Sus scrofa: one gene and its partner. The protein of the gene in region 2 interacts with the protein of the main gene of each other region in a pairwise test. Links are inferred from orthologs where the notes say so. Each region holds a gene or a part of one and is shown on either strand. Other genes may lie near its edges.

Region 1 (4,937 bases), on a different chromosome or scaffold from region 2:
GAAAAGATGCTCAACATCACTGATCATCAGAGAAATGCAAATTAAAAACACCGTAAGACATCACCTCACACCTGTTAGAATGGCTATTATCACAAAGAGAAGGAGTTCCCAATGTGGCTCAACAGGTTAAGAACCTGGCATAGCTTCTGTGAGGATGCAGGCTCAATCCCTGGCCTGGCGCAGTGGATTAAGGATCTAGCATTGCCACAAGCTGCAACATAGGTCGCAAATGGGGCTCAGATCCAATGCTGCTGTGGCACAGGTCTGCAGCTACAGCTGTGGTTCAACCCCTAGCCCAGGAAGTTCCATACACCACAGGTGCAACCATAAAAAGAAAACAAAAAAGTAAAATAAAGTAATAAAATAAAACAAGTGAGAACAAATAACAAGTCCTGGGAGGATGTGAAGCCTTATGTACTGCTGGTGGGAAAGTATACTGGTGGAACCATTATAGAAAACAGCATAGAAATTCCTAAAAAATTAAAAACACAACTACTGGGGTGGGGCTCCAATTCGACCCCTAGCCTGGGAACCTCCCTATGTGTGGGTGCAGCCCTAAAAAAATATATATTAAAAAAAAAAACAACAACAACAACCGAGAAAAAGGCAGGTTACATACAATGATATAATAGTTAAATTTTGAGTACAGTTCTCAAGAGTAACAACAAAATGCCAGAGTTTCAGTAAAATAACATTAGGGTTAGGGTTAGGGTATGGGGTTAGGGTTAGGTTAATAACATTTTCAAAGTGCTAAGAAAAAAAAAGAATTGGAAGCCTAGTACCCAGCTAAACTACCAATCAAGACTGATTAAACCTATTAAAGCTATTAACCCTATTAAAGATATTTCCCACCACAGAGTATTTACCACTAACCGACCCTCACTATGAAAACAGCTGAAGGATGTATTCACCTACCCAACACAAAAAGAGGGAATAAAATGCAAGAAAGAATCGTGGAAACAAACAGTAAACATGAATGGGTAAAATGAAATAATCACTGACAGCACAAAATAATTGTGATTTATCAGAATCGTTCAACACAGACAGAGTACCTTTGGGGTGTTCTCATTCTTAGAAGTGCTGTTTTGAGTCTAGACAATACCTTTTGATATGCTTAGAGTACAGAATAAGAGGCTGAAATAAATGACCCCCAACATACCTACTGACCACAGGGTTTTATTAATTAGACCCAGCTGTCAAACATTCCCTGATCAACTCTACTCAGCCATCTGAGGCAGTGCTTTTCCCATCCTAACATATCTAGATCTTGACCCAAAAAGACAAAAACAAAACAAAAAAATTAATTAAAATAAAAAATAAAAAATTTTTAAAGGACACGCTAAATGGAAATATTCCTTACATGAGCTTTCGGTTAAGGTGTTCTAATTTGAGGAATTATCGTTTCTGGCTTTGAATTAAGATTCAGGCTTTACAATGAGTCATCATTTGCTTGAACTTGGGCCAAGAAAAGAGTACCCTGTAGCTTTTTACAGAGAAGTGTGTGTTTCTTCCTCTGAAGGAGAAAATACCACCCAGGAAGAGACAGGGAGGGAATGCATATACTCTTCCCCGCTGCCTAAAAGTTGCCTTAGCCTGATCTGAACATTCTCTCTAGGCTCTCATCAATTCACAGCAGGAAAGATCTCCACAAGGCAGAGAGCTCCAATTCCCTTCCCATCCAAGGTTTCTGGCCACAACACTTGCCAATCCAGAGCCTTAGAAACGCAGGACCTGGCAACAGACCCCAGAGAAAGGGCAGCGTGGTTTAAAGTAAGTAGTAGTATATTTTCTGGAGGCAGTGCCACTCTGGGCACGAGGCTAACTTAATACAGAGATGCAAAAGCCACTAAATAAAGATGGGAAAGCCAGGTTCCTATCCCCTTTCAGCCCAAAAAAGCTCATTCATTTCAAAGCATATGTTAACTAATGGCCACAATACATTTCACACTCTGCACAGGCATCAGGATACAGGGGCAAAATATTCCGTCTCTATCTAGTAGGGCAGACAAATGCGCAGACACTCCGAACACCAGATGAAAAACGCTACCTTAGGGGTGAGCAAAAGAGGGGGCCCAGAAGGGGCAGCATCCACCCAGAGGAGCTCTCTTGCACCAATAACCTTCACACGGTCACATCACTTATGGTCATGAATGTGTACTCTCCGAGACGCTTCAAAGAAACACTTTACCTAATTTGACCCGCACACCCCCCACCCCCCGTCCAACAACCCCAGGAAAGTAGGTAAGGGCACGTAAACTCGTTGTTTACACCACACGTGAAAAAGTGAGGCTCACAATAAATTGACTCGTCCGAGACAACCCTCACTGCCAATAAAGCACCTCCTTCCCACTCAGGCCCCACCCACAAAGACGCCAGTGGAGCCAACCACGCACTGGTTATACAACCCCGGCCAAGCCGAACATAAACCTCAGAAGGGCCCCGCTGTAGTAAAGTGTGACAAAGCTGCGGGACTGTTTAAAAGAGGATCCACATAACGGGCGTGGCACAGCCTCTGAAACGTCGTCGGTGCTCGGGAACTGTTTACTAGTAGTACTACCGCTATTGTTAGCAGTAACGGGCGAGGACCATTACTACAGGAAGCCGCGGCCACAGGCTTTGAGGAAGCTGCACCACCCGCACCCCGTCGCCCGCAGACTCGATGCCACGGACACGCCCCCGAGCAGGCCCTCCCCCGAAGCACGTCCGCCGCCTCCCCTCGGACAAGGCCCTCTCCTCACAACCCTTACCCGCGACAGACTCTCCCCACTCAGCCTCGGTGAGGAACGAGGCCTTCCGTTCGCACCCGTCTCTCAGCACCCCCTTTAGGCCCCGGCTTCCCTGCGGGCGCCCAGGCCGCACACCAGCAGCGGGCCCGCGCCGCTTACCTGGCCGCGCGCTCCCGCTCCGCCTCTCGCCTACCCGGGATCGCCTTCGCCACGGGCTCGCGCCAGCGAGGCGAGCGCACAATTAGTTTAAACTATGGCCCCGCCCCCTCGCGCCGCCCTGCGATTGGTCCGTGTCGGCTGGCGTCGCACGCCCAGGGCACGCTGGAGGACCCGCGAAAAGGAAGTGGGAAGGGAGAAAGGGTGCCACAACTTCCGGAGCCCGGCCCGCGGCTTGAGGGCAAAAGCAACTACAAGTCCCAGCACCACCCGCGGCCTTGGCGCCCCCACCCGCCACGAACTGCAGCTCGCGGAAGGTATCGCGGTAGCGCCTACCGCGCCAGCCGGGACTTGTAGGCGAAGGTGGTTACCATGGAGTTGCGCCGAGTAACGCTGCGATAGTAGGACGCTGAGGCTGGCGGGGAAGCACTTGCGGGTGAGTTGAGCGGGGAGGGGCACGCAGGAAAAACTAAGAACTTCTCTCCTCGGGGATCTGAGACAACCCCGTCTTAACCCTTTTCACAACGACAAGGCACAAACCCATATGGGATAGACGGGCTCGTGGGGGGGGGGGGGAAGGCGGAGATAAATACCCATACAGATGTGGGGGTGCTTAAGATCGCCATCATCACAGAATAGGACCCCCTAATACTACTGTCTCAAGTCCCTGACACATTCTGGAAGATCTGAAACTTCTTCAGATATAGGGTTGGTTTTCCTCTGATCAACAGAAGACCCTCTGCAAGACATGGGAGTGGGATTAGAGCAAATCAAAAGTCTCTAATTCTGGGGATGTAGGAAAATTTCTGGGGCTTGAACGGCCCCTTTCCTTCCAGGCAGGAAGACCCAGAGTAGAGCCTCCTTTTCAGAGAGTCAGCAGGATCTTCCACACATACTTAGGAGGGGTCCTGTCTTTACCTCTTCTCCCTGCACCTCCTCTGTTGTCCGTCTCCCCAAGGTCTGCAATTAGAGCTTCATTCCTTTTCCAGACTTCATGACAGATCCGTTACATCTAGTAACTTACCTAGTGCTTTCACAGCCTCTTTCTTTTGAACTTTGTGAATCCAAGAATATTTATCCCATATCACAGACTGGAAAACCAACCTAGTGAGAAGTAGTGACAGAGGCCACGCACCAAGTCAGTGACAGCTAGGACTAGATCCCTGTTTGCCAACTTCCAGCTAAGTCTCTAGCTTGAGCTTACAGCCTCTCTAGTTTAAGAATGTGTTCAAAGTAGTAGATTAAACTGTCCCAGGGACAGTTTTTAAATGGGCTGTCGTGGGGGGGAGTGAACAATATCAGATTTGCATTTTGCAGGATTACTCTGGTTGCAGTAGGCAAAATGGCTGGGAGGGAAGGCAGAAAGGAAGTGATGGTAGCTCGGACTAGAGAAAAGACATTTAGGAAGCAAAGCTGACAGGTATTTATTCTGGATGGGAAATGGAAGGGGTATTCAAGGTAACTCTTGGTTTTCTGACCTCCGTAATGGTGGGGAGAGGGGAGAACACCGGAAGAGATCCAGGAGTACCCAGAGAGTATGAGTTCACCTGCAGACGTGTTGCAGGCGCCTGTCTTGGAGATAGCCTGGAAGTGGTGAAGAGGCAATTGGTTATACAGATTGGGAGCTCAGAGATGAGGACCAGGCTGGGCTTGAGTAAATTCAAGTGTGGCCTGGCCTGCCAGTGTTCCATGAGCTGTGGTGTAGGTCGCAGATGCATGTGGGATCCGGCGTGCCTGTGGCTGTGGTGTAGGCCAGCAGCTGCAGCTCCGATTCAACCCCTAGCCTGGGAACTTCCATGTGCTGCAGCTGCAGCCCTAAAAAGACAAAACAATAATAATAAAAACTTACCAAAAACTTGCCCTTAAGTATTTTAAGCTAAAATCCATGTCCAGCAGTGCTGGACTCCAAGGTCCCAACTCGGACTCGCTTTGAGAAAAGTACTCAGTCTTGCTCAGAGGCATCCAGCTTGTGGGTGCTCATGTGGGACCGGTCGAGGTGAGAACACGAGCCAGCTCCCCTGTTTCTACAAAAGAATAATGTGCTCTTTATTATGT
Region 2 (4,426 bases):
TGCTGTGGGTTCGGCTCTAAAAAGGCCCCCCCTCCCTGCAAAAAAGAATATAATTTGTTTCACTTGATTACCCCAGTGAACCAATAAAACCAAGCAAAGGAAATAAGCAGGAAGAACACTAAGTCCTTGTCACAGATAAGGACTATGTTTCCCAAGAGAAAGCTAACGGATTTATTGTGTCTCTTTTTTCAGTATCAAAAGAGAAGACAGGAAAACTTGAAGAAATAACAGAAGTGGCAACAGTATACTGAAAGCAGTCTTGTCAAAGGGAGAAACTAGCTCTGGGTCATCCCTTCAGTCTTTGTGGTGGCTGTAGTAGTGGCGGAATTCTGAAATTTAATTTTCTACACTGTTTCAGAATGATTTTTCAGAAATGTATGATCCTGAGAATAAGAAGGCAAAAGGGGGAAAAATTACAAAAGTAAACGTATGTGTACTATATTATTAGCACTCTGTGATATACCATCTCCTCTCTATATTAAAAAATAATTGGGGAGTTCCCGTCGTGGCGCAGTGGTTAACGAATCCGACTAGGAACCATGAGGTTGTGGGTTCGGTCCCTGCCCTTGCTCAGTGGGTTAACGATCTGGCGTTGCCATGAGCTGTGGTGTAGGTTGCAGACGCGGCGCGGCTCGGATCCCGCGTTGCTGTGGCTCTGGCATAGGCCGGTGGCTACAGCTCCGATTCAACCCCTAGCCTGGGAACCTCCATATGCTGCGGGAGCGGCCCAAGAAATAGCAACAACAACAACAACAAAAGACAAAAAAAAAAAAAAAAAAAAAAAAAAAAAAAGATTATAAAAAATAATTGGGAGTTCTTGTTGTGGCGAGCGGAAACAAATCCATCTACTATCCATGAAGATGTGGGTTTGATCCCCGGACTTGCTCAGTGGGTTTGGGATCCTGCATTGCTGTGGCTGTGCTGTAGGCCAGCAGCTGTTGTTCGAATTTGACCCCTAGCCTCCGGAACTTCCATATGCCACAAGTGTGGCCCTAAAAAGCAAAAAAGCAAAAAACAGCTTATTAAATTCCTCCTGCTGCCCCTTCAAAAATAATTGTGAATTGTCATCTTATTTTCCTGAGGAGATACTTGGAGAAATCCTGTCAGAATGACCTTCCCTGACAAGAAACCACCCTTTGAGGCCTGGTGCCAATACTATCTTATGTAAGCAGGCCTTCCAGGCCACCCCCATGGGGGAGCCACCTCCATCTCTAGTCTCTACCTTGAGCTCTAAGTATATACGGATATGTGGTTCTCCCTTAGCAGCCTCAATGTCCCTAAGGAGGACGAGTGACTCTCCCCACCTTGGCAATGAAGTGTGCATATACAAAGGCTCAAAAACCCCCTGCTGAAGGCACTGTATGGTTTTGAGGGCAGCTGCCAGGTGGGCTGAATTCTGGTCCCAGTTCCAGCATTCACTATTCTGACACTTTGAGCACGCTAATTTCACTTCTAAGCCTCAGTTTCCTCTCCTGTAAAATGAGGAGGTTGGACAAGATAGTCTCTGAGGAAACTTCCAACTTGAAACAGCTATGGTTCTACAATTTTTTTTTTTTTTTTTTTTTTTTTTTTTGTCTTTTTGCCATTTCTTGGGCCGCTCCTGTGGCATATGGAGCTTCCCAGCCGAGGGGTCTAATCCGAGCTGTAGCTGCTGGCCTACGCCAGGGCCACAGCAACGGGGGATCCGAGCTGCGTCTGCAACCTACACCACAGCTCACAGCAACGCTGGATCCTTAACCCCCTGAGCAAGGGCAGGGACCGAACCCGCAACCTCATGGTTCCTAGTCGGATTCGTTAACCACTGCGCCACAATGGGAACTCCTGGTTCTACAATTGTTAACTTGTACTGAAAATAAAGCTGGAATGGTGGTATAGCACAGGGAACTGTATAAGGGAAAAGATTTTCAAAAAGTATATATATGCATAACAATCGCTGTGCTGTACTGGCTGAAACATGATACTGTAAATCAATACTTTGACTGAAAGAAAATAAAAATCTGGAGCGGCGGGAAAACAAAGAAGCATCCTGACCTTAAATGCTGTAACAGATGGATACAAGATACAAATAAAACTTTATGGAATGCATACATCTCAGCTTGGCTTTATTCAAGGCAAATTTAAACCTGGACAATTCCCTGAAGAACCCCCAAATGATACCCCAGAAGTGACCAAGGACTCTACAGAACTGGGGCAAGATTCCCCTTCAGTTTAATTAGCCATGGAAAAGCCAGGGTTTATTAATTTGCTCAAAGATATTTACATAGTTCCCCCTGCATCCCATGTGTCTTGCTAAGTGTGAGGGGCAAAGCAGTCACCAGCCAGACAAGGTCTCTGCTCGCAAGGAGGTGGAGAACAGGGAAGGATTCCCATGGACTTTCACCTCTCCTCCCTCCTGGGCTTTGGGATGTGATCTTTCCCTTTGTGCATGCCCCTCCCCGACACCACCCTCTCTGGGTCCTACCCTTCATGTGGCTAATCCCCATGCATCTTCCCTGAGATACTGCCTCCCAGTCAGTGCTGGCTGCGTCAGGGCCTATTCTCTAGTCACAACACTGCTTCTTTGTAACACTTTTGGTGTCTGTGACTTCAGTTATTTGTGTGATTATTTGATTTTGCACCTTCCCCTCTGTACTGAGAAATCCATGAGGCCAGGGTCTAGCTAAGACCCACAACACAGTTTGCAAAGGGAGCAGCAACCTTTGATGAAACAAAACAAAACAAACCATACAGGTTATACCTCATTTCTTTGTCTACATAATGCCACCCGACAAATAAAGCCTCTGCTGCGTCCGGAAACAGGACACCACAATGGTGTGTGTGTCTCACACTTAGTTATTAGTGTTACTACTGGCCACTGAGTCATCAATAGCACAATAAACCCAAGATGTGAGATTTCTGTAGCCCAGCAATCTTTGGTAAGAAAGCCAAAGTAAATGGTAGACATGAAATGCAAGCGATAAACAAGATTTTAAACCCAGACATCATTTTTTTTCCTGTCTTTTAAGGTCAGTGCCTGAGGCACATGGAGGTTCCCAGGCAAGGGGTCTAATCGGAGCTGCGGCTGTCGGCCTGCGCCAGAGCCACAGCAACGCCAGATCCGAGCCGCGTCTGCGACCTACACCACAGCTCAGGGCAATGCTGGATCCTTAACCCACTGAGCAAGGCCAGGGATTGAACCCGCAACCTTATGGTTCCTAGTCGGATTCATTTCCGCTGCGCCACGATGGGAACTCCTAGACCTAGAAGTCATTTTGACATGAGCCTCGAAGTCATGCTTTACTTTTTCTTTTCTTCCTTCTCATTTTCTGGGTCTTGAAAGAACAACTTGTGCTGCTCTGGGACATTCCACAAGGATTTGGAATCAGCATACCAACAGGACTTGGTCTAGGAATGCTGACTCCCACCTGAGCTGAGGAAAGTGAAGAAGCAATGTGGAAGGCCCTTCTATGTGTCATCTTTATCATCCTGCTACCCAGGCTTATAAATTCAAATACTTGGAGTGTTTCATCTTGGGAGGTGGCCGTTCTTAATCCTAGGAAGGGATAACAATGCACTTTGACAGGGTGGGGGGTGAGCTCCCGCACTCACGTCGTGTCGTCCCAGCGCTGTAGACACTGGCTGTGGAAGCTGTGGTTACATAAGGTGGTGAGGATGCCATTCACGGACTCGTCCATGCGCTCCAGACACACCGTGCACTTGGGGAGCTCGGTCAGGTCCATCACGGGGAGGCTGGCACCCTACAGGGAAACACCTTGAATAAGCCTCACTCATCATCCACGGGTTCAAACTTTTTTTCTTTTTTTTTAAGTAACAGTTTTCCTGTTACTTTTTGATTCCTGGCAGGATGTTCCCAGTATTATTGCTCTGTGGAAAATAACCTAAATTGGTAAGATTTTCATCCATGCAACAAATACTAATTTAGCATATCCTATAGTCCCAGCACTGTGCTGGGCACTCGGGACACCCTAGTGAACAAAGCAGACAAAGATCCTGTCCTGGTGGAGCTGACATTCCAGGAAGGGAGACTGCTGACAGAATCATAACAAAGAATCTAAAAGTTACCAGATGCCTAGTTCATGGCCACGACTATAAAGGAAGATAAAAAAGCAGGAGAATAGGAGTGGATCTCAATGATTTTTCCACAGCGCAAATTAAAACTTAACACTTTCTGCTAAGTGATAATTGTATCAAGAACACTGATTTATTTATTCATTTAATACATGCTTACTAAGTCCCTGTTATGTGTGCCAGACACTGTTCAAGGTATGGAACAACGGTGAGCAAAAACAGGTTCAATAAGTCCCCAAACACAAAGTCTGTTCTTGTCCTTACAGAGCTTAGCATCTAGTGGAGACAAAATTCCACATTTTATTTTTTCTTTTTTGGCTGCCCTGTGGCATATGGAGTTCCTGGGCCAGGGATCAGA

What was found.
Region 1: the proteins of BRAP (region 2) and NUMA1 interact in a two-hybrid assay, tested with the Homo sapiens proteins (2 studies listed by BioGRID and IntAct). The link is inferred for Sus scrofa from reciprocal best matches to the Homo sapiens genes BRAP and NUMA1.

The regions. Positions count from the first base shown.
Region 1 is NC_010451.4:6,659,905-6,664,841, forward strand, and holds the start of NUMA1 (nuclear mitotic apparatus protein 1), read right to left. Parts: upstream 3,063-4,937; 5' UTR 2,886-3,062; intron 2,863-2,885; exon of another isoform or gene 2,748-2,862; intron 1-2,747. UniProt on the Homo sapiens protein: Microtubule (MT)-binding protein that plays a role in the formation and maintenance of the spindle poles and the alignement and the segregation of chromosomes during mitotic cell division.
Region 2 is NC_010456.5:32,821,100-32,825,525, forward strand, and holds part of BRAP (BRCA1-associated protein), read right to left. Parts: intron 3,738-4,426; coding exon 3,589-3,737; intron 1-3,588. UniProt on the Homo sapiens protein: Negatively regulates MAP kinase activation by limiting the formation of Raf/MEK complexes probably by inactivation of the KSR1 scaffold protein.